Drosophila melanogaster: one gene and its partners. The protein of the gene in region 1 interacts with the protein of each later gene in a pairwise test. Each region holds a gene or a part of one and is shown on either strand. Other genes may lie near its edges.

Region 1 (6,137 bases):
TCATGTTAATCAATGGTTTGGAAATGTGCAGATTACATATAAGATAGATCTAATGTATCTTATGTTGTAACCTTTTGTTCATTATAGTTGAGGTGGCCCAAAAAGTGACGCACGCCGCAGCCGGAATGACAGGATGGATAGCTGGAAAGGTGGGCACTGCTTCAATGGCAGTCGGCCGCTACCTGGCTCCCCACATTCAGGAGCAAGGCTCTAAACTGCTGCAGAAGGGATTTGGCTACGACACCAGCGAGGCTAATAGCACCATGGAGGGCGCCATGACCATCGCGGCAGGAGCCGTGGAAGGAGTGAGCACCGTATTCGATGGCCTCGAGACTTCCGCCAAGATCCTAGGCTCCAGCCTCAGTGAAAACTCCGTCAAGATAATCGAACACAAGTGGGTTGGCTTTGGCTTCTTAATGCTTATGCAGTTTTGTAACAGATGTCATTACGAATTTTCGTCCGAATTGAAAGTAATCACTTAGGCTGGCAACGGTTTATTCAATTTAAATATATCTGAGATTTAAGTTATGCGCAATGTGCAGAGGATCGCAAAAATGATCAAGGATCGGGAAATGTTACTCAAGCTTGCACACAAAGAAAAGTTTTATAACTTGTTGTGAATCGTCTCAAATATGTAATGCTACTAAAGGTCTACTAAGATCTAGATATTCATTTTGGGTTTCTTTCGCCTTCGAAAAAGAAAAACATATAGTGCGGGCATTTTTAATATTTCATATATTTACATATATTTATTTGCTATTTCAGATATGGCCAGCAGACGGGGAATCTGGCTAGTGGCACCTTTGACACGGTGGGCAACGTTTTCGTGGTCAGTCAGAACGTGAACTACATAACCCCGAAGGGCATTGCCAAGAAAATGGTCAAACGAACAGGAGAAGCTGTGGTCAGTGACTACAAGCGAGACTTACGCAAATCGGAATCTCATTATATTAATGCCGGATCTCTTTATCCGGATCTTCGAGCTTTGAAGGAATAGCGGGAAAACCAAAGGAATTTATCACATGTTATTATTATTATTATTATTATTATTATTATTATTATTATTATTATTATTATTATTATTATTATTATTATATTGAAATATTTATATGCCATTTATAGCTTCTAATTAAAAGAAAAAATATAAATAAATATTATGTTCAATAACACATAAAAAAGATATTTCGAAAGATTTTGCATCAAAACCTTATTTTAGTGTTCAAAAATGCTTTACTTTTGTATTTGTAGATAAACCGAAGCTAGAAAGTATTAAAAAGAAAAATGTTTAATTCACTTTGTATATTTGTATAACCTAAATTCTAGCTTCCTAGCACTCCAACCGCTAAGTATCGGGTATCTTTTGTTTTTAAATTAAAATGTCCTGATTTTTGATACACAACTCAGTCCTCTTTCACTAATTTAAAAGAATTAACAATTTTAGCAAGGAATTTAGTATGAACGTACCATGTAAATTGTGAACAAATGTTGATCTAAGTATCTTTAGATTGACGATCAATAAAAAGCCGTCTAATTTAGCGGCTTTAAATCCTCGTAAGTACTGTCATAGCTTCCGATCGCCTGAAGTTACAGACTTTTGAATCTTATATTGTTGAAAAGGTTATGTTATTTGCATTATTTCCTAACCATTTCCTAAGACTCTATATAGCTATCTTATTCCTTATTCTTTTTTCCTATCTTAAAAAGCACTCTGATCAAGCAAAAACTTTGCGGAACGAGTCAAATTTTATATAAACAAGTTAGGAATTTATATAACGAGCGATGAACCCCACATATATACTTTGGCGAAATATGGTAAAACTTCACGTTTTGTTTTATACACGAGATATAGAATGTGATATTCTATAGGTCCTAAGTGTCATATATCAAGGAGCCCATATATTTAGTTAGGGTTCAGCTCCCGAATCAGAACATAACATAACATGAATGACTATAACCCCTATTGTTGGTAAAACTTTCTCCTAGACTATATTTACATTTACCTTATTATAGTCCTTTTATCCTATTAATATTTATATTAGGAGAATATAGGAATATGTATACTCATATTATTGTCAAAATCATATGAATACATTTTTTTATATATATTTATTAAAAAGAATCCGTACATAATTATATTGTATCTTAGCATCACAGGGTGGAGATTTATTCTTAAGAATTACCAGTCGATATATAAAAAAAGTAAAGTAAATGAATACATTTGTTTTCAAACGTTAGCTCTCGTGCGAGTTCCATTCTGAAAATAGGAATGGGTGTTTAAATCCTCACATGATTAGTGAGAGGTTTGGTTTTATCATTTATATGTTAATTGCGCTGTTATGTTGCTATTGCTGCATTGTATGGATTCATCGCTTCTAAATAAATAAATTTAAAAAAAAGGAATGGGTGTAGCATACTTTCGGGACGCGCAATAAAAAATTATCTTGAAATTGGTTTGGTTTTAAACTCCGCCATATATCATTATATAATATTATATATTATTTGATCCCAAAGCTTCATAGATTGATCCATCAGCGTCTCGTTGATTTTTGTATGCAATACTTTACGTACTAATTCAAAAACCGAGAAAGTTGTTAATTATTTTGAAGGCTTTTCGCCGAACAACGTAACAAAAAACGTAAGAGCGTACAGAGAGACCTTGCCTGCGGACAGATAAAAATACCGCTCGTAGTCCGATTCGACCCACCTCAACTGATTCAGCTGGCCACACTCCGCCCCATTTTTATATCCACAAATTCCTACGCTCGGCAGTACGTTTTGAACTCGGCCAAAAGGAGGTGGCTAAGAGTTTAGCGCGGCACGCAAGCACATAATTCCCCGCTCGGACGTGATTTCGCCCCTTGGTACATGAATACATGTGAATGTGTACATATGTGCGCACGGGAAATAAGGCAGGAAAAGCCCAAAGCCACGGAGTTCGGATCCGAGAGTCTTGCGTTTTGTTTTGCGCAGCACTGCACCTGTGCAGTGTAAAATCGTGAATTCAGTCGAGGTGCAACTGCGGCGCTTGTGCGGTTGAGGGAGGAGAGTTGGCAGAAGTGTGTTTGTGTGTGTATGTGGGTGGGTAGTGCCTTTTATTTCCGATTTTGACGGGAGTCCAATCCACCAAGCTGAGTAGTTGCAATTACGGCGCGGCGGAAAACTGTTTTTCTCGCTCACAAATACATATGTACAACCTGTATAAACAACAACGACTGCCGTAAACAGCCAACTGCGAACGCAGCAACAACAACAGTTCTAACAACAGTACACAAGCAAACACGTTTCCCGTTTTATTTTCTGGCCCGCGTTTATTAGTGTGTGTGGGTGCGCCTCTGTGTGCGAGTGCGTATGTGTGCGTGTGTACGTGTTGCTCGCTCGAGTATAGAAATTTCTAATGATTTTTGGCCTGTTCCCGAAAAGCAGCTCCAAACAACAACAACAACAACTTTAGGACTCTGCAGTGGCTGTTCCAATTGACTCGCCATTCTTTTGAATTGTTTTTATATATGTAATTGAACGCCGAAAAACAACTGTGTAAAAAACAGCATCTGTGCCAGCAACGAACAGAGCTTCGAATTTTGTTGGTAAGTGTTTTCAGCTTCTGCACAATGAATAAAGTAAATAATAAGTGAATAAGTGATTTCAAAATCTGCATTTTGAAACCGTAAAAAGTGTAGAAAAGAAAAGTGTAAAAAGGTAGCCAATTGTCTTAGTAACGTGCTTATTTATGCAATTTGTAACTATTGGCTTGAAGTTTACATAAAAAAAGGTCCATTCGAAAAATGAAGACTAATATCTTTCCTATCTTTCCTAACGGATATCAAAAAGTAGGATTGGGTAAAACACATTTCTCTCGGAGATTTTTCTTCATTGAGCGGATCGCTTAGATCCATTCATCTGACGCAACAGTAGCAGCAAAATAACGTTGTGATGACCAGGACTAGGGATATGACCTCAAGCAGCATTCTGGGACCTGGATCATGTTGGTCAGGCGGAACTTGTAGATGGAGGCTCGTGTTCTGGAGTGAGGCTTGTGAGCTTGAGTTGTACATTCTTGCGATCCATCCACCGATCTGCTGGCTTTCGAATTTGATGTTCGACAAATGTGTCTCAAAAAAATTTCGACACCCTCGACATGCGTTTCTGTGTTGGCTTTGATAGGTTTTTTCCCCAAAACATTTTCACTTTGCATGCCAATTTTCTCACCGCTCAAACTTGCAGCACTCGGGCGCCTAGTCATTTATTTGATATCATCATTATCGTCATTGCCCGAGCTACAGGCTACAGGTTTTTAGCTAATAAGGTAATGGCAAAAAGACGGGGAAAAACGGCTGAATTATAATCGAAAGAAAAAATCCATCATTGGAAAGTTGGTTTAATTGCATTTGCGGAATGCAGCTGTCAGGGTTGCCTAGTTGTGCGACAGGGCGACGCATTTTTCGCCAGCCGCGCACTTGGCTAATATTTCAGGCTTCATGCTTCATTTGCGTTACGAGCGGACCAAGTCGACTTTCGGAGCAAACCCGGCGGCAAGGGCGTTGGACTAGATTGGATCGGGTGGATTGGATGATGAAGGTGATGGGACAGGAGAAAGGTATTTGAAAGGGCTGGAGTGGGTTACACACTCCCCGGCGATATGGAGTTCATCGTCTTCCGAACTTGAGTTTCAAAATCTAAAAAAAAAACATCTCTATGTATGTATGTATGTAAGTACTTGTGTCTCCCAAGTTCTGGTGCCTGGAAAATCGTCAAACAAATATATTTTCAAAACTTAAAAATTTTTTTTTTTTGGTTTTCGAAGGATAGCGTGCACTACCCACAAAAGGAGCAATAAATTCCTCCGGGTGACAGTGGTTGGCAATTTTTTGCAGCAATTGGCAGGGCGAGTGTGGGAGAGAGCGGTGCCGGTCGTTACACGTTACACACTTTTCCGGGGCACTTTCCCAAGCGAATATTATTTTTTCTGTGCCCTCACATGAAAATCAATTCATAATGGTGCAGGTGGGTGGCGGCTCTCATGCTTTTTTTATATTTTTCTCTATAGTGCGATTGAATGCGACAGAAAATAGTATGATCAAGAAATCATATTGTTTACACATCGGTTTTATAAATTTGGTAGTTTAATTTTTATTAGTCCAAACAAATATCGGATTATATTTTTGTTTCAAGTGTACTTTTCACTTCTTTGCACGGTGGGTATTTTCCTCATCATCTGTTTTTCGAAGAGCTTTTCCGCCGCTGCTGTTTTGTTTATGCTTTTCCCATCTCATTGTTTTTGCGCGCCTCGTGCGTCAATTTATGTGAGTTCAGTTTGCCTCAAAGACGGAAGCGGTCTTAATGGTACAAATAGGAGTAGCTGCGGCTCCAGCTAGGAAACCGGAGGAAAAGGGTGCCGTGGAAATTGGCGCCGCCGCAACTGCCCAAATGCCGCGGCTGCTCATAACTTGTTTGCCGAATAATTTCCAAAGTTGCAATTTTCATTTTATGGCCATTTGTCTTCGGTTGTTTTGTCTGCCGGTTGGGGCACATTCGAAGCCCGGTTTTGCTTTTTTTTTTTCGTGGCTCATTTTGTTTTGTAATCAGAATTACATAGAGGGAAACATTTCATTTTCATTTGCTAACTAAGTTGGTCTCTCTTTCGGACCGCTCTGTAATCGGGTAAATGAAATCCAGATCAGTGGCGAAATTACAAATTTGTTCCATTTTGTTCTAAACATACTCGCATTTCGTAAGTTAAAATTTTCATACATTAGTTTCAAAAGCTAGAAATATAATGAGAATCTTAGAAATAAAGCGATTGTCATGTAATTACATGATACTAGAGTACCTTATCCAAATCAGACTGACTTGTTTTAAGCCATCTTGTGCTTGACATACACATGCTCAACTCTTCCCTTTTGGGAGGTGCTATCTGGTATCCGATTTCGTAACCAATTCGGCCCGAGTCCGGCTCTTTCATAACAATAACCAAAAGCACTTGTCACTGCCATCTGCTGCCGGCAACTTCGCCGTGGCCACCCATATGGGCCCAGTTTGGGCTCGTCGCCTACCTGTTTCACCGGGCAGTGTGAGTGATACTTGTGCAATTATTGTACAAACTCATAGTGTCCACTCTTTCAAGCGAGTGTATGTGAGTA
Region 2 (9,110 bases), about 26 Mb from region 1:
GAGCCACTTCAGGAGCGGGAGCAGTTTCGCCTGGCTCCCCAGCAGCAGCGTCACCCTCTTCGGACTCGTCATCTTGAGCTGGTGGCGGTGGAGCTTCATGAACACTTCGGTCTGACTCCGCATCTGAGCCCCCAGACTCGCCTACGCCTTCCTCCTCCAGGTCGTGCAGGTCCTCCTTGGACTCCTGCTCCTCAGCCTCCGGTTGGATTTCCTCGTAGACAATAACTTCCTTCCACAAAATCTCCTCGTCCACACAGACTGGCTCCTCGTCATGAGGTTCTACGCGCTTATTAAGGTCCAGATCCGAAATACCGGGCTGAGATCTTTCGAAGCCTCCACAGGTGACACAGGAAGACGATGAGAGCAGCATTGAGGAATGCGGGGATGTGGTGGACAAGGGTGCACTGCTGCTCTGCGTTTTCTTGACTCCCGGCTGCGCGGCCCGCGCACTTGGCTTCGGAGCATAGGTCATGGTGGTCTGCTGCGATTTGTCCTGGATAGCCACATCCGGTCGCTGCTGGCACTGGTTGCTGATTTCCGGCATCTTTGGATTGCTGCGCACCAGGTAATCGGAAACACGCACCTTCCAGTTCTCCTGGCTGCAGTCGGTGTTCTGCATTATGTCGTAGATCTCCTCGAGCAGCGGCTTAAGCATCGGCCTGTTGCAGAAGTTGTTGTGGTCGAACATTTGATGGGGCTCGTGAATATCTGAAAAATTCGATATATTATTTTTTACTTTATTAATCTCTGTATCGCTACTTACAGTTGGGAAAAATAAAGTTTATCTCACGAGCCACGCTGTAACTGTTCTTGGTGACATGGATATTGCGTTCCAGATCCGATGCCGAACCACTTAAAGTCAAATTGTACCTAGAGAACTTATTATTTTATTTTAAAAGCAAACTCACAAATAACAAATCATGATGTTGAGCAGCTCCTGCACGGCGTTTTCCTTCGTAACTATGAACGCCTCGGAAACACCCTTCGAAAGCAGAATGACCTCCAGCATAAACCCCTTTTCATCGGCATAATCGGCATAGAACTCGGCGGCAGTTTCTGGCGAAAAGGCAATCCGTCGATTACCCTGAATCTGGAAGCCCTCGGCCAGCAACTTTAAGAGCACCGGACGCCGCTTGTGCAGATAGTCCGGCTTAATGATAAACAGGGAGTTCTCAAACATGTCGGCTAGAAAATATATACTATTCCAAGGGGAATTGGGAATTTTCAATAATGTGCTACTATGTCGGTTTAAGTTTTCTGTATGATTTATAAGATCAATGTTCGTATTTTACACAGTTTTGCTTGATATCTTAAACTACACACACTGCTCAAATGACTTCGGACACATGGGGATATCGATACAAAGTTTGCGGCTCGTGAATTTCGCTAATTTTTATGTTGAAATTACGATAAGGGTACTGCTTAGTGTAAGTGTTAGTTTAGTTAAGTTTAACTTTTTTCAGCCGGCGTTTGAGTGCGTTTATAAATTCAGTTTCATCACAAATTCACCTAACAAATTTAGAGCCAAAAACCGGGGTACAAAACGAAAAGTAAGTAATTATGTTTCATTTACAGTAAATCGTTATAGAATGTAAACAGATATATGTAAAGGTATATGCATATATAAAGCGTGGGATCGGGTCCCTTCTCCTTCAAATCCTCCGCGCCTGGTTCGTACATCACAACGCATCACTTAGGCTGTTGAAGATAGTAAATTAGTAAATGTATTGTTTGGGTCCTTCAACCTATAGCTTACCTGAAATTCTAGCAAAGGCCAGCGAAGACTTCTCGCTTTCGAAACACTTGCCAATCTCGGCGCAAATATGCGACTGATCAATATAGGGTCGTTTGGCCAAGTTCTTAATGCTACTGCCATAGATGGAGATCATCTCAGAGCACTGCAACGCAAAGGAACTTATAGATATTTATAACATTCAGGATTGTAAGTTACATACGATCTTGTAGTACTTGGCTGGCAAGTTCTCGCATCCCACCGATGTCATCTGTAGGGCTGTCACTTCGGATACGTTATCTTTCTTCTCGCGCAGGAAGGGCAACAGAGCCTGGGTGACTCCATGGCACACACCACACTCCAAAACTTCATCGGTGACGGCCACGCTGAAGCAGAGCTGCAGTTTCTGGCACACCTGCTTGGGCGGCACATCGCTCAGCAATTTCAGGACCGCAGAGGCATATCCATCGACGAAGGTGTCGCACTGTTTGCGCACCGTGGCTGGCAGGCGATTGCACACGGCTTCAATCGCTCGCTTAATGTCGTCCTGTTCGGTCTTATTCTTTAGATCGGCATCCAACTTGGTCATGATAAATTCGCAAAGGACGCAGGTGGGCGGCTCCTTGATGCTGCTAGACAGCTTGTTGTCCTGGCGCGGCAGAGCAATCACGTCGTACTTCAAAGCCTCATCCACTTCGACTGTATTACGAAAATGAAATTCATTAGTTTAAACGTATACTTAACGTAGCTCTAGAATTTAATACTCACGATCATCCAGATCAGCCAGGATGCACATTCCCAACTCCGTGCAGATAAGCTTGGGATCCATTTCCTTTAACAGCAGATCGGCGATCTTATCGCCGTACTTGTCGATAACCTTGTGGCATTTAGTGTTCATTGGCTTCCTCATTCGGTCGCAAGACTCCTCCAGGATATGCTTGATGCTGTCTCTGGTGGGGTGCTTGCCCATACGCTTCTCCAAGGTCTTAACCAACTCCTCGCAGATCAGGCAGTTCGGAGCAGCGGTGAATCCTGGGTCGAAGGCCAGCTGAGGGGGCAGCTCCTCAAGGGACTCAATGTCATTGAAGCTGATTTCCTCACTGCTGGATTTGTCCTCACCATCGACATCGTCCTCCAGCGAGATGCGCAAGTCCCAGAGAGCGTAAGTGGTCTTTGGGCAGAGCTTCAGTTGGACGCAGATCTCCTGCGGCTTAAAATCTGTGATCAGCATGTCGATCAGCTCATTGGAATAGGTGTTCACGAAGTCTACGCATTCTTCCTTTATCTCGTTGGGCAGATGGCTGCAAAGGCCATTCAGAACCTTTTTGATATTATCCTTGGACTTGTTGTCGCGGATCTTCATCTGGGCCTGCTCAACGGCAAAGAGGCACAGAGGGCAAGTTGGGGGATCCTGCTCATCGCTGGCTGGCTGGGGATTGAACACTTCGACATCTTCCTTCTTGGGCAGATTCTTCGGGCACATCTGCATGAGGGGGCACACGTCACGAGGATTCAGTCCTTGGACGAGCAGAGCTATCACAGCATCGCCATACATCTCCACGAAGTTGCGGCATTGACCGGCAACTCCCGAGGGCAGTTTGGCGCAGATGTTCTCCACGGTGTGCTTGATCTCGTCATCCGTGGAGGGGGTAGCCAGAGTCTCCTGAATGAAATGCAGCATGTACTCACACAGGGTGCACAGCTCTCCACCCTCGACCAAAGCTCCGGGATTAGCTGCACCCATTAGGTGATCAATGGGCAGCTGCATGTCCAGGATCTCTTGCTGGCTGAACTTCGGCTCACTGGCGCCCAGTTGCTTCTTCTCGTGCTTCTCCAGCTTCTCGATGGTGATCTTTACCTGAGCCGGCTCAATAACAGGCAGCAGCGGCATGATTGGGACATCCTTCATCGAGGAGGCGGAGTTCTTCTGGCAAATGCCGATCATGCAGCAGGCTCCATTGGCATCTAACTTGCTGACCAGAGTCTCGTAAATCACATGGTAGTATTGGTCAACAATGCTAAGGCACTCGTCCTTGAATCCCTTTGACTGCTTGCAGAATCCTTCCATAACTTGCTTGAACTCCGTTTCAGTGGTGTTGGCCACCAAGACGTCGCGAAGGTGCTTTACTAGTTGCTCGCATAGTTCGCATGGAATATCATCGCCGGCATCCAAGGCAACTAAGGCTTCTTGCGGTTGCTTTTCCTCTTCATGCTGGTGATATCTGGAGGCACACACTCCGGACACATGGCACACGGCATCCGTGGTCAAGTGCTTGCTCACATGGTCGTAGATATCATTAAAATAGGTGAGCACAATGTTGGCACAGGCGTCTGAGAAACTAGATAGCGATCCGCACATATGAAGCATCGTTTCCACCATGTCATCGCGATCGGTAGCCGCAAATTTCGAGTGCATCAGGCGGGAAAGCAGGTTGCAGTTGCCGCAGGAAAGTTGGTTAGGCTGCATGGCCAACTCGGTCTCCTCGGAGCTGTCATCTTCATTCTGGACGGTTCCATCAAGACCAGCCTGAATGCCGTTCTTATACAATTCGTCGATGCGAGCACTGTTGCAAAGTCCGGCCACAGAGCAAACTTGCTGAGGATTGAAGGGAAACATTTTATATATCAATAAAAGGTTTAGGAGGATGTGTTGTAGAGGTGAAAACTCACATCTGGATTCATCTGCGAGGCCAGGGCCTCGACCAACTCGGGCAGGAAGTCATCGGCCACCTTGATGCACTCCTTCTGGATCGGCTTGATCGGAATCAGCTTGCAGGAGCCCTCGAAGACCTCCTTCAGCTCCTCCTCTGTCTGGTTGCTCTTCAGCTGGTCGCGGGCCTGAGTAACCATGTCCTTGCATATCGTGCAGATGGAGTCCGTGTCCACCGGCACCTTTTGGGTTTCCCAAACGGTTTGGATGCAGTGGCGGGTGGCACGACATTCCTTGGAGTTGCTGGAAAGGAAGCAGACATAAAGTTAGCAAACTTTTTTTTTGCTGTTAAGATAAACCCATCAGAGTAAGCAGTCGGATACTAAGCTGATTGTGCGAAATGCCGCTGTTCGGATCAAATGACCCGCATTCGTAATCGAGTGGCCAAGCCAGAATCGACGAGTCAGCAAAGACCAGAGTCCACTAAAAAGGGAGTAGTCCCCTATCCACTTTAAGAATGCACCCACAGCTCACATGATAATGTTGGGTCTTCAATGAATACAACGAAGCATTGGACTGGTAATAATTTTGATTTTTGAACATCCGAGACGGAACGAAATGGTTTAATAATCATCAAACTTATGCTGACTAAATCAAAGCCCATATCATCTCATATAAGCAAATAGCATTTAAAGCACAACACTTTGATGGAAAGTAACCCTATATTTGTTCAATATAAATCGATTTGACTGATTCGAACGGAAAGTGCTAATTTCCATTAACATGAAGAGACGCCTGCGGTGGAATCGCCAGGAATACCAAACAAAAGCGTCTAAATAGCAAAAAATCAGCACTGATAAGCACGGAAATAAACAGTACATATGTATGAATGATATATCTGGACGTATCCACGTATATATTATTCACTTGGCTGCGCATTCACAGATATTGTTTTCTGAATTTTCAACAGCAATGGCGACGTTTTTAATTTTTGACACTCTGCAATTGAGAAACAAAGAAACGGTTAAGAGCCAGAAATGGCGGATTTTCCTGGCCATTTAAAAATAAATCAATCAATAAACAAAGGAATTACGACTAGCGATAAGCGATGGATGGGTGCTTAACAAATGTTTTCAGTTGCCTATTGATCGCTTTTACTCTATTAATGATGCAGTCCATGTAAATGTTTTCAAGTTTATCTTGGTGTAACATACATACATATGTACGTACAGTATAGCTTCTGTAAGGTGATCCTTTGTGGCCGCAATGTAATATCACTCCATTGAGGAATTTACAATTGTGAGTATGGCTAAGATAAGGGTTTCAAGTGCATTGTGATTGTGTTAAGGCTTAGAAGTTGCACTTTCGGATGTTCCCCTGTACTCATCATACGCCTGAGGGATTAGTCAGAATTCGTTGATAAGGAACAACTGTTGCCGCCTACAGCGAATTAACAATGATAAACAAAGCAATCATGTGGTTTGTTTGGCGGTGCACAGAAAAGGGAGCTGTGTCAAAACGATCTGCTCCTCTGGATTACTCATGCATATAATCGGTGTCGATAAAGTTGTGCCCCCTACGAGCGCTTAACTCTGCCGTCTAAATGTTCCGACTGGCGGTACTGTTAATTTGATTTGTACAGCGAATGTGCAGACAAAGGAAATCCAGAAATATGGGATATGAAGGCAGAGAGTATTGCGAAAAGTGCACTCAGAGAAAACATCGAGTCTGTAAAACAATACAACGCAAAATAAGGGGACGCAATTAGAGCGGCACTAGTGTTAAGTTTGCAATAACAGGGGTTATCGGCGAATAGAGCTATGTAGAGCAAAGTGATTCGATTCCCGATTCGAGTGATAGTCTTATCGGCCGAGAACAAAACAGAACAGACGAGTCTTCGCTGCAAACAATGGGCAAGTGAGGCGGAGAAGTAATATCGCTATTTGGAGGGGGGTTAAGAGAGGTTAGCTTTTCGCCTTCGAGAACTTTGTGGTGTTCGATGACCAAGCGATTTATCCGAATATACCGTTTATTGTATCACCCACTTTTTTGCACTCACCTGAAATTTCCGCACCAGTAGGAGGGTCCCCAGGTGCACTTGCTGGAGCCCAAAAGGGGCGTGGCAGCGGCGAAGACGCCTGCAAGAAAGCAAACAAACAAAGAGAGCAACGGTTGAGGAACAGAGTGCACAGCACGAATACGCAATAAGCTATGACTAAACTATTATTGTGGTTCCCTTTCAACGTCGCTTTTCGCACTTCTCTCCATCTCTTCTCCACTCACCAAAGGCGCAGCACAGTGCCAAAACGGCCAAGAGGCCTGCTCTCTCCATTTTCCCGGTTTTAACTGTACTTCTTAAATGTCGGCGGAGATAGTCCTCTATTTGCAGCTACGTATTTATTTCTGAACGAAAACTGAAGTGCAATTGCAACGATTGGTTCAATTTTTTATTTGTCTGTAGTGTGGCCGCCGTCTGTTTCGTCAAATATATACCGTAGCGATATAATAGTGCGACCAGTCAGCGATTGAATTATTGTTAAATTTATTTAACGATACTTATGGAGCAAGACTTGGATAATGCTTTTAGCATAAAACCAACCCAGTGTATACTTAGCAATCAGGGGGGAGCATGGACTCGAACCGCACTCTGTTAATAACAGAGATCTGTTTTTGCCTTTCAAAAAGCCATAAAAACCTCCGAGGAAGCTATCATAAAATGGGGTCAGCAAATCATTAAACTTAAAATGGTATAATAAACAATTAAGTAACCGATATGAAACTATTAGATTTGGGCCACCTTTCTATAGGGTGTTAAGTACATGGAGTACTTGAATACGTTGTCCTTCAAATTATAACTTCAATTATCGTAGAAGAAAATTATTGCTCCTAAAGTCGGAACAATTTATTAAATCACTCACTCAATCAACAAACAAAGCCTTCGCCACCCGCAAATGCCTCACAATGTATTTATAATCGATTGCAATCCGCAGATTTAATTACATATTGCCGCGACGAAACTATGACAATAACCATCAGCGATGTTCTTGAACTTAGCGCGGTTATTAATACGCCCCTTTTTGCCCAGCCCCATCGCTTAACCCCCCTTTGGCCAACTTGGCCAACTGTGCGACGTGAACTGGCAGGCACATGATTAAATTCTATTGTAATTGCGGGTTAATTGATGTGAGCCTGCCCAGATGTAAAGCTCGCAGGCATAAATGTTGGGGAAAATGCATCTCACTCGTAATGGCCGGCTAGTAGATTTTTCTCGCGATGCCTATCGGCGTGTAATTCTCGATTCCGAGGTGCGTATCAAGATCTGTGTGAGAATCGTCTGAAGATACATTCGCAAAGAATGCCAGACACATTCTCACAGCGATTGAAAGTCGAGGTCATCTGGTGGTGTTTGCCCAACGAAATGCCAAATGCAAGCGCCGATCCGGCCAATACGGCCATAACATGGCTATATCTGTGTCAAAACCAACGATTTGGCTGTTCAGGGGCTTAGAAGGAAACCTGAAACCTGTCGTGTTGACCGTGGATTGCAACGCCTGCCGTGCATTTCGGTTCTTTGACGGAGATTAACCCACTGAGACCTTGCTGAAATACTTGGTACTTAGAACCAAAAATTGTGGAAATATTAAATTGCACTCGATTAAATAGGAATTGAATTTAAGGTTTATGTGACCTTAGGCGAGGTACCATGGGGTAGTAGAGGGTTAATTGCAGCCAGACACTGCACTTGACACTTGAAGTCTGGCTGCGAGATTGATATTATGGCAATTGAGTGGACCGCCGCCAAAGAACAAGTAATCAAGTTCAGCAGTGAAGGAAATTTAGGCAATTAACACGCTTATAAGTGAAGCAGTAAATCATTGGACTAACGTTTAATTTCGGAGTTTCAAGAGCGAGATAATTTTCTGCTTTTATCCGCTTTTTTATGTCATTCATAAATTTGTTTACTCTAGAAGCGACTGCTTGTTTGGGTCTTTGAATTCAGCCAAGCCAAGTTATAGTCGGACAAAGTACAAAGTACGCCTTTTATTCCCTCCCAATTAACTTGGTCAAAAATCAGGTTCGGAAAGAATTAAATGCATCCATCCACAAGAGTGAAATTTCCGGCAGTTCACACGCTGGCAGATAAAATCGAGGCTCGAGATACATTTTGTGTTGAGTGACCCGCGGAGAGATTGGTAACAACTCTAATTGCCGCGATTGCCAAGTGCGTCACATAAGGCCCGTCTAATGGCTAATTGTTTATGGCCACTTTGGCTGACCTCTTGGGCAATTTCCCTTTCCCTATCCATGAAATCCGCCTGAAACTCCGAAACAGTTACTTTGGGGTAGTCGCTTTTCGGAGATCAGAGAACGTAGCTCACTAACTACTGCCTCACCATGCGGAAATGAACTTGACCTTATCGAGGGGCTAAAAGACCGCTAGCCACAGCCAAATGCCAGCTAATCAATTCAGCCACAACTGCTGGCCATAATTTGTGAGTCAAATCTTCAAATACTGTCTATAATGGCTATAAGCGAACGAAACCCCCAACAATAACAAAGCAGAAACAGTTGAAGTTATAGTTAAGATCTACAACTCTTTTATAGCTGACTTCGAGCGAAGGCTTCTCGACTGACTGCTGCTCTTCTTCCGCACGTAGTCCGTCCAGCATCCAGATCAAGTTCAGGTGTGGATTTGGCCATAAAGATGCAGTAGTCTAGCTGGGTTAG
Region 3 (7,804 bases), on another chromosome or scaffold:
AATACGTGATCGGCGGCTCCCCATTCCGCCTGCACTTCGCGATAATCGCATTCCATGAGATGTCTTCCATAAACATAACATTGCATATACACATGCCGTCCATTCCAATTCACCCACACACCCATGCAGCCGTGTTTAATTTGGATTTTCGGCAATCCTTCGATTCGGCTGCGGACTTGGGCTATAACTCACCAAAATGCCGAGGGAAGCAGCAGCTCCTTGGGCTGAATCCACATTTTGATTGTTCTTAGCCCGTGCCAGGCTCTAAATACAAAATTACTCTTTGTTTAATTCTGCATCGAGCGCTGATTGCTGTTTTTGTGGCAAGTGTGCCCGTTGGCTGGAAAGCACAAAACGCACAAAGAACTAAGCAATCTATTGTGAATGGGTGCACTCTGCGTCCGATTTTTGAATCAAATAGTTAACGTTTAGTTAAACCTAAGAATATGAATCTGTATCTTAACTTCAATTAAGCGAAATATGTTCTCTCCAATTTAAAAACTTGTTGGCTTTTAGAAGCCGAATAGAGAAACAGAAAATGTTCATTATTAACAGTTTAATATTACGCAAAGTTACCATATAAATTACATAGTTAGCCTTTAGCTTTAAATCGAAACTGAAACCTCTCATTTATATAACAAGTTCAAAGCCCAACGAACGTGTCGTGCTACAAAATTACTAGTTTTATTCTCAACTCCTGCAAAATCGTCAGTGTTTTGCAAAAATGTTGAAAAAATTCGTGGAAGTGAACGCCGAGTGCAGTCCCTCTAACAATCCCTATGAGATTCGTACCTTTCTGGGCAACGAAACGTCGCCGGAATGGAAGGCGGAGAACTGTCCGCCCCGCGATCGCGTCTGTCAGAAAAAGCCACCCAACTCCACGATCTCCCAAGTGCTAACCATCGAGGATGAGCTGCGTCGCATCCACCACAAGGCGGAGGAATCCCGCTTCACAAAGCCCTATAAAAAGAAATGTGACCTCTACGACGATTTAACCATGTGCATCGTGCCACAACGAACTCCAGCGGAGCTAAAGACCCATGCCGAGATGCGAGAGCGAATTCTGGCCGCGCGCAAGGACTTTGGACTCGTCGAGCACGACGCCAGGGTCGATAGGCCATGTCCCAAAGATCTCGTCGTCCTCAACAGTCCCATGGACATGGGCGAGGAGGAACAACAGGCGGAGGAGGGCGAGGAAGAGGAGGAGGGCGAGGTCAAGCCACAACTAGCCACTCCAGAATGCAGTTCTGATATGATAATTATTCCGGACAAACGCATGGTATGTTTAGATATAGCTTATAAACTTGGTATAGACAATATTTCTCGATTCGTATAAACTACGTATCCCAAATTACCACCATTTCCAAATTATCTGCGGATTATTAAATTTTAACATGATCATAATAAGCAATTCTGGTTTATTAACCTTTTAATCAATCAAATCGAATTTGATTTAAACTAAATTATGAAGTAGATCTCTTATTGTTGTTGTTTTAAGAATTAATCTTAATAAAAGTCGAAGGCCTTAAGTACTTTTTTGGTGAAATGAACTCATTTAAGTTCATAACAAAACGATTTGTTGATTATAAATAACAGTCGACTACGCTGAGGCATAAGTTTAGACTAGCTTTAACCTTTTGATAAATTGATGTTTTTACTCGATCAATTCGATGTCATCGATATCGGCGTAAATACTTCCCGGTGGCAGTTCCGAAAGAGCGATTTCTCCTGGATCGTCTTGCCCATCTCCATCGGTAGTCGCCAGCGACAGGTTATGATAAGCTCCAGAAACAGCCTGTTGCTGCATGTGCACTCCCAGCTGGGAGATAAGTTCCAATGCCTGTACATCCGAGTTCATCAGAGCGAACTGGTGGATAATGGCTAGATGCGGAAAAACCCCATTCAGAAGAGTACTGGTTCCAGCGTTAATCTGATCATCCGGGTTTTCCTGGTCGCCATGTGCCTGCAGAGGTATTTCCCCCTCTGCAGCATCTGGTGTGCTGGATGGTGAGGACATCATGGTGGGCTCACATGTTACCAGCTCCACTTCATTATCCCCCTCTGGATGATCGGACATGATACTGTTTTCGCTGGAGAGATTGACAAAATCTGCCATAACAGCTGCTTTTGAGATTGCTTCGCCTGGATTATCCAGCTCCCGTTGCATGAAGTTCGGCAGTGCATGCTTAAACTCCACAATGATGTCTTCGACAGGCAGGTCCTGGTTCAAGGGATTTTCGCCCTGGTAGCCCAATTCATCGGCCTCGTACTTGTACTTGTTGCGGAATCGGCTTAGCCATCGATAGGATGGTCTGAAGGATGGCAGGTTCAACACAGCTGCCATCCGGATGGCGGTTTCCTTCAGTTTTTGGTTCCTTATGCTGATGTTCAACTGCATTTGGATGCACCTTTCCACCCACTCGTGTAGTAGGAAGCTGATGGCACTCATTTCGAACTTGCGGCGCTTGCGCGTCATCTCTTCGATTATAATGGAGGCATCTGCCTCGCTTAAGGTGGCCAACTGCTGCAGCAGATCCTTTTTCTTATCCAAGATTCTACGTATTTGGGTGGCGCAGCAGTGGAACATCTTGGCCAGACTGTTCCTAGAGATGTTGGTCTCGTCATAGTAACGGATTACGGCAATCTTTTCGTAGAATGTCAGGATGTTACGCTCATTGCGACGGGATTTGATCTAAAATATAGAGAGGGAAGAGTATAAGATTAACCTAAGATTAGTATTAAATATATTTTAAGCAATTTAATAAATTATTAGATATCTGCAACTATTAGGGTACAAGCCACATTTGTTGACCACCTCTTATATCCTGTCGAAAATTTCCATGCAGAAGTGTTACTGGGCGGATAAGTAATTTTTTCTCTCAGTGTCGTATATATATATATACGTATATTTCTTTTCCAATAAGCTCTATAGAATTTGTACATTTTTATAGATAATATTATTGTTGTATATGAACATAGTGCGAATTTGGCATTACAATGAAAACAGAGGCCTATACGAACTGCAACACTAAGCTAGCCTTAAGGGATTAACGGCCTCCGTTTCGATCATGCAAAGGGTGTGCATGTAAAGGACCTTGGTTGCAAGCCACGCAGCTCAAGGGTAAATGAATGTACGATATGTGTGCGGTATACATGTACATATGTATGCATATGCTTGTGTACACGTGTTTAGTGTAACTGCCGCGTGTCCACTCGAGACACGTTATAAAATCCACCCTCAGCGGGTCGCTTAAGGGCCAAGTTAACAGACATATCTGGTCCCTTGTCCCTTTGCGACTACTTACCCCTTTGGTGTTGTTGTTGTTGTTGCGCCGCAACGTTGTTGTTGGCAGGGCGGCAATAGCAGCCATTTCAATAGTTGTGTTAAGTCAATTGCAACTAGGTTTCTGCTCTTTCCGTTCTCCTTCTTTTCCTTCTCCACTTCTTCTTTTCCGATAACTGCGCAGCAGCTTCTTGCGCTCTTACGGCTGTAGTCGTTCCGCTCTCGCGCCACTTAGATCATGCGTCAGAGGGAGATAGAGATGTGTTCGTGCGAGACTCCTTTTTGAAGCTGTTACAGAGAAAACGTAATAAAACAGAAATAAAAGCAATATTAATACTGTTGATGCAAATGGCTAAGCGTTTGTTAGTCACTTTTTACGAAAGTTGGCACGGCACGTTCTCAAATTCGCTTTGCCTCTGTATTAGCTTTTGTTGTTGCGCCTCTGACATTTTTACAATTACTGAGTAATAACACACTTGTGTGCCCTGTTTCTGTTTCTTGGTTCCGCTCTTCGTTTCTCTGCGCCTGTGTGTGTGTGCGTTCAGTGCGCGCTCCGTATGAAATAAAAACGGTTCACTATGCTCAATCCCTTTTGCATGGTGTTTGCTGTTGTAGCAACGCAGCTGTTACTTTTGTACAGTGCAGGTCAAGTTACTAGCGTACTTCACTAGAAAGGGTATTAAACCACTAGACAATGCTTAGATGATTTGATTGTAGGAAGAGATTAGAGCTGATTCTGGCAAACCAGGGAAGCAAGCAGAATATTTTGGGTTTCATAAGTAATTATAGTTGGCGAAAACAAAACAATATATACAATTTCATATTTGTCATATTAATAACAAATGCAGTTATCAACTGCAGAAAGGCTTAATTCTAGTAATAAAACATGGCAGTTTTTTTATGAATTAATATTAAGGCTTTCAAATATTCAATTACAGTCCTTATCCTGCAAATACCCCAAATACTTTGGGAACCCTGGTAACATCGACTACTTTTAAGGCGTTAATTGTTAATTTGCTGATCTTATGTATCTAGTATATATGTACATATGTATACATGTATAAATACATGTCTGCACCTAAAAAGTGAAACTCTCTATTTGCCCGCTGTTATGTGCGTTGTTGGTCTATTGCATCGGCAGTGGGCATGGTATGCAAAAGCAGTGCGGTTGCAGTCGCTTCGCTCTTGTGTCATATGCGTTTGCGTTTCGCCGCGTTTGTTGTTTGTTATGTATCAATTTTTGTTGTCGGTGGAAGGAGCAGGAGCGTGGCGATGACAGGAGGGGGTGGCAAGGCTATATGCTGGGTTACCGATTAAAGTCCGATTCCTCGTCGGATTGCCCGCCGCAAAAACCTCGCTCTATCTTGGCTAATTACCTTTGCGTCACAGATAAGAGCCTGTCTACTTTTACTCTTCCAACGATTCGTTTGGTGGCCGAAGTGATATAAGCTCGCTCTAAAGTCTTTGGGGCGTTCATAGCTAGCTTCTTATCGGTCCAGATCGTTGTTAGACAACAGAGAAATTCCCTATTATTCGTTCATTTAAACTAACTGTCTAAAAAGGTATAGTTATTGTATGTTTTAGGCACTAAAAGAACATCAATTCTGTTCAGCATTATTTTTGTTAGCTATATACTAGCTATTAAAAAGGTCCTTGAAATAAAACTATTAAATGAAGTTTACTCTTTTGAAGTTTTCTCTGTATATGCAGACAAGCTCTGTTTTTCGAGGTGCCAGACCGCTGCTTACAAAACACTTGGCTGTCCATCCCCATATGCATGTGTATCTCAATTTCGCTGGGCGGCTGCACCTCGCAAATACCAAACTTAAGTTGAGTTTTAAGCCATCTCGAAGTTTGCTCTTGCAGCCTCAGCATCATTGATGAAAGGGCTGCCTTAAAGTGGAATACTTCAGCAGTTCCTAGTCTTTCTTTGAATTAGGTCTCTGGATGAAATTAATAACTTATGGTCATTTTCTTGTATTTCACTGACATTTAATTATATATTAAGAATATTCGTTTGCATAAGGTATATGATAACTCAAAAAAACATGTCCTTTGGATCCCACTACATGAATAAAATAAGCATTTGTCTTCTCAAAGTATTGTTCTTAAAATAAAATATAATTAAGTGGACATCCCACCACACCTGCCTTGCGAATGATCATGTGTCTGAAGTCCCCGTACGCGGAACACACCGAGCCCCATCGTAACCCCGCCTAGTTTGACATTTTGCCAGCTAGCTCGCCCATGGAAAGAGGGTTGCGTTGTTGGAATTGGAACCGACTTGTACTGTTGGCAAGTGCGCCTTGGTATTGGTGTTAGTATTGGTATTGACGTGGTCGTATGCTATAACAGTGCGATACTGCGGCGCTCACCTGGTTCACCTGGTCGTCGATTTGGATGCCTGTTGTTTCTGTTTTTGCTGCAGCACGCTACTTACTAGATGACTTGTTTGTTCTGCAGCCGAGGCAGCTTCGTATTTGCTCGGGGTCCGGGTTTTTGGTCTCGGGCTAGTCGGTTTTTGGTCTGGTTGGGTTTTTGGCTTTTGGACGACCGAACGAACGAGAGCGATAAGATTCCGTGATGTGGCACTAAGCGCTGTTCGTTGTTTACTGCTCTGTGCATGGGACGCCTCTGTTGTTTGGTGCCCGTCATCGTGGCCAGCCAGCCATAGAGGCACACTCACCAACACAGACGCACTGCGAACCCATACATATATAGCGCATGCCATCGTATACCACATATAGCGCGGCGACATCAGGTCGTTATAGTCAGTCTAGTTGGCATTTCGTGCTTACCTTATGCCGCTAACTAACTTCTTGATGAGCGCAAAAAACAGCGGAGGAGAAAAAACAGGCCTCCCGTAAATACCATCCATACCATACCTTGCCATACAACACAATACTGAAATGCCATACCCAGACCAAGACCAAGGCAAAGACCAACGGGGCGTCGGGCATCGGTGGCGTATGCGTGCTATTTTCAGCCGCATTAAAAGCTTATGGCCATGGCCAGGAAAACCGAGTCGCCGAGTGAAAGCACAGAGCTTGCACAGAGCCAAGCGTTGATAACTGGCCATATGTTACCCAATCCATCGCCAGCCAAGACTATGAATTCACTGAATATTTCAATTGGCTGGACATATCCTTACGCAATTTGGGTTACACTAAGTGCGCCATTTGTTGACCACACATACAGAAATTATTTGGATATGGTTGTAATGTATTTTAGCTTATTTTTATTTTATTCATGTATATCGGTTGCAATTATAAATTTAATTTACCGACCTCATTGAATATTAATATAATCTTAAAAAAAAGAAATGATATATTTATACAACCTGCGCAGTTGGAGCTAAAGCGTCCCAAGAGTCGCATATACCTAAACGAAACTGAAGTTGGACCCTTGGAGGAGCTCCCCTTTTCATCTTACAATCCGCGAATCCTGCAAGAAGGCTTAGAAGGAGAAAACCTCAAGACCTTCGATATCATTGAGGGCTGCAGTCCACAGGATTTGTGGACCTGGAATGTGGGCTACCAGAAGAGAGAGGAGCATATGGATCAGGAGTTCATATCCGCCTCCCTGCCGAAATATGGTGTGTAGTTAGCGAATAGAACTATCTTTTTTCCAAGAGATTTGCATTCCTAATCTAGGCTTTTCAAAATTTCACAGAAAACGACGGCGAACTTACGCTCTATAATATACCACAACAGCTGGAAAAGACGTTTACTGCTGAGATTGTGTTTGGGAATCGGAACATCTATCCTGAACCAAAGAAGGAGCCCAACCGTTTGCAGTGAGTAATCTGATTTCTTTGCTAGTAATGCTTAGTTACTAATACCCTCCAATAAAATATATAACTCCTCCTTACATTAAATCCAGGTACTATTATCGGCCTAGTGAAATCGGTGCCATTATAGTCGCTTTCGTAGAGACCTTTCGTTTGAATCCCGATTTCTGGACGGGATCTACAATGGATGGGATTCTAAAGCGCGGAGTGAAATTGACCAAAAAGAGCGCCGACCTAAACTACAAGTCAGACGTGAATGATTTCGATATAATCCAACAGGTTGCGGAACGAGACGCCGCCGTTGAGATTAAGATACACTTCTCGGGACTTTTGAAAAACGAACCAAATATGTACAAAGCACTTTCCCTATTCTTCTCCAAATACAATGCCTGCATCTTTACGTCCCGGGATCTCTTCCTGCTGATCTGGAAGCGCTGCTTAAACTCGTACTATATCTTCGATCCCAATGGACGTGATGAAAACTGCGAACGGAATTTCGAGGAGGGAAAGTGCTCACTGATGGCCACTCGCTATACGGAGCACTTGGTCCATTTGATCACCAAGTTTAGCGATCTGCAGCCGCAGGATGAATTCAATATTTTTGAGATATCGCTGACTCAGTATGGAAAACTTAAGGAGCCACCAATTAATTCGGCGGAAAACGAGGAGTATCACAAACTCTGGGCGCCAGTCAATGAGAACTTTGCTGTAAAAACTGCGGCCACAGGTGG

The links.
Region 2: the proteins of smash (region 1) and Sap-r interact in a two-hybrid assay, tested with the Drosophila melanogaster proteins (one large-scale study listed by BioGRID).
Region 3: the proteins of smash (region 1) and ebd2 interact in a two-hybrid assay, tested with the Drosophila melanogaster proteins (one large-scale study listed by BioGRID).

The regions. Positions count from the first base shown.
Region 1 is NT_033777.3:4,656,816-4,662,952, forward strand, and holds the start of smash (smallish), read left to right. Parts: upstream 1-2,763; 5' UTR 2,764-3,584; intron 3,585-3,711; exon of another isoform or gene 3,712-4,124; intron 4,125-6,137. Other genes in the region: spartin, read left to right, coding at 88-394, 766-997.
Region 2 is NT_033777.3:30,882,220-30,891,329, forward strand, and holds Sap-r (Saposin-related), read right to left. Parts: upstream 6,844-9,110; 5' UTR 6,715-6,843; coding exon 6,666-6,714; intron 6,608-6,665; exon of another isoform or gene 6,521-6,607; coding exon 6,442-6,520; intron 4,686-6,441; coding exon 4,403-4,685; intron 4,329-4,402; coding exon 2,501-4,328; intron 2,432-2,500; coding exon 1,956-2,431; intron 1,899-1,955; coding exon 1,757-1,898; intron 1,699-1,756; coding exon 1,694-1,698; 3' UTR 1,245-1,693; downstream 1-1,244. Other genes in the region: CG15547 (uncharacterized protein), read right to left, coding at 1-708, 764-852, 909-1,180.
Region 3 is NT_037436.4:21,343,384-21,351,187, forward strand, and holds ebd2 (earthbound 2), read right to left. Parts: upstream 5,906-7,804; 5' UTR 5,659-5,905; intron 3,687-5,658; exon of another isoform or gene 3,655-3,686; intron 3,572-3,654; 5' UTR 3,372-3,571; coding exon 3,306-3,371; intron 2,693-3,305; coding exon 1,655-2,692; 3' UTR 1,385-1,654; downstream 1-1,384. Other genes in the region: Tbc1d8-9 (TBC1 domain family member 8/9), read right to left, coding at 193-236; CG32436 (uncharacterized protein), read left to right, coding at 725-1,279, 6,632-6,878, 6,956-7,079, 7,166-7,804.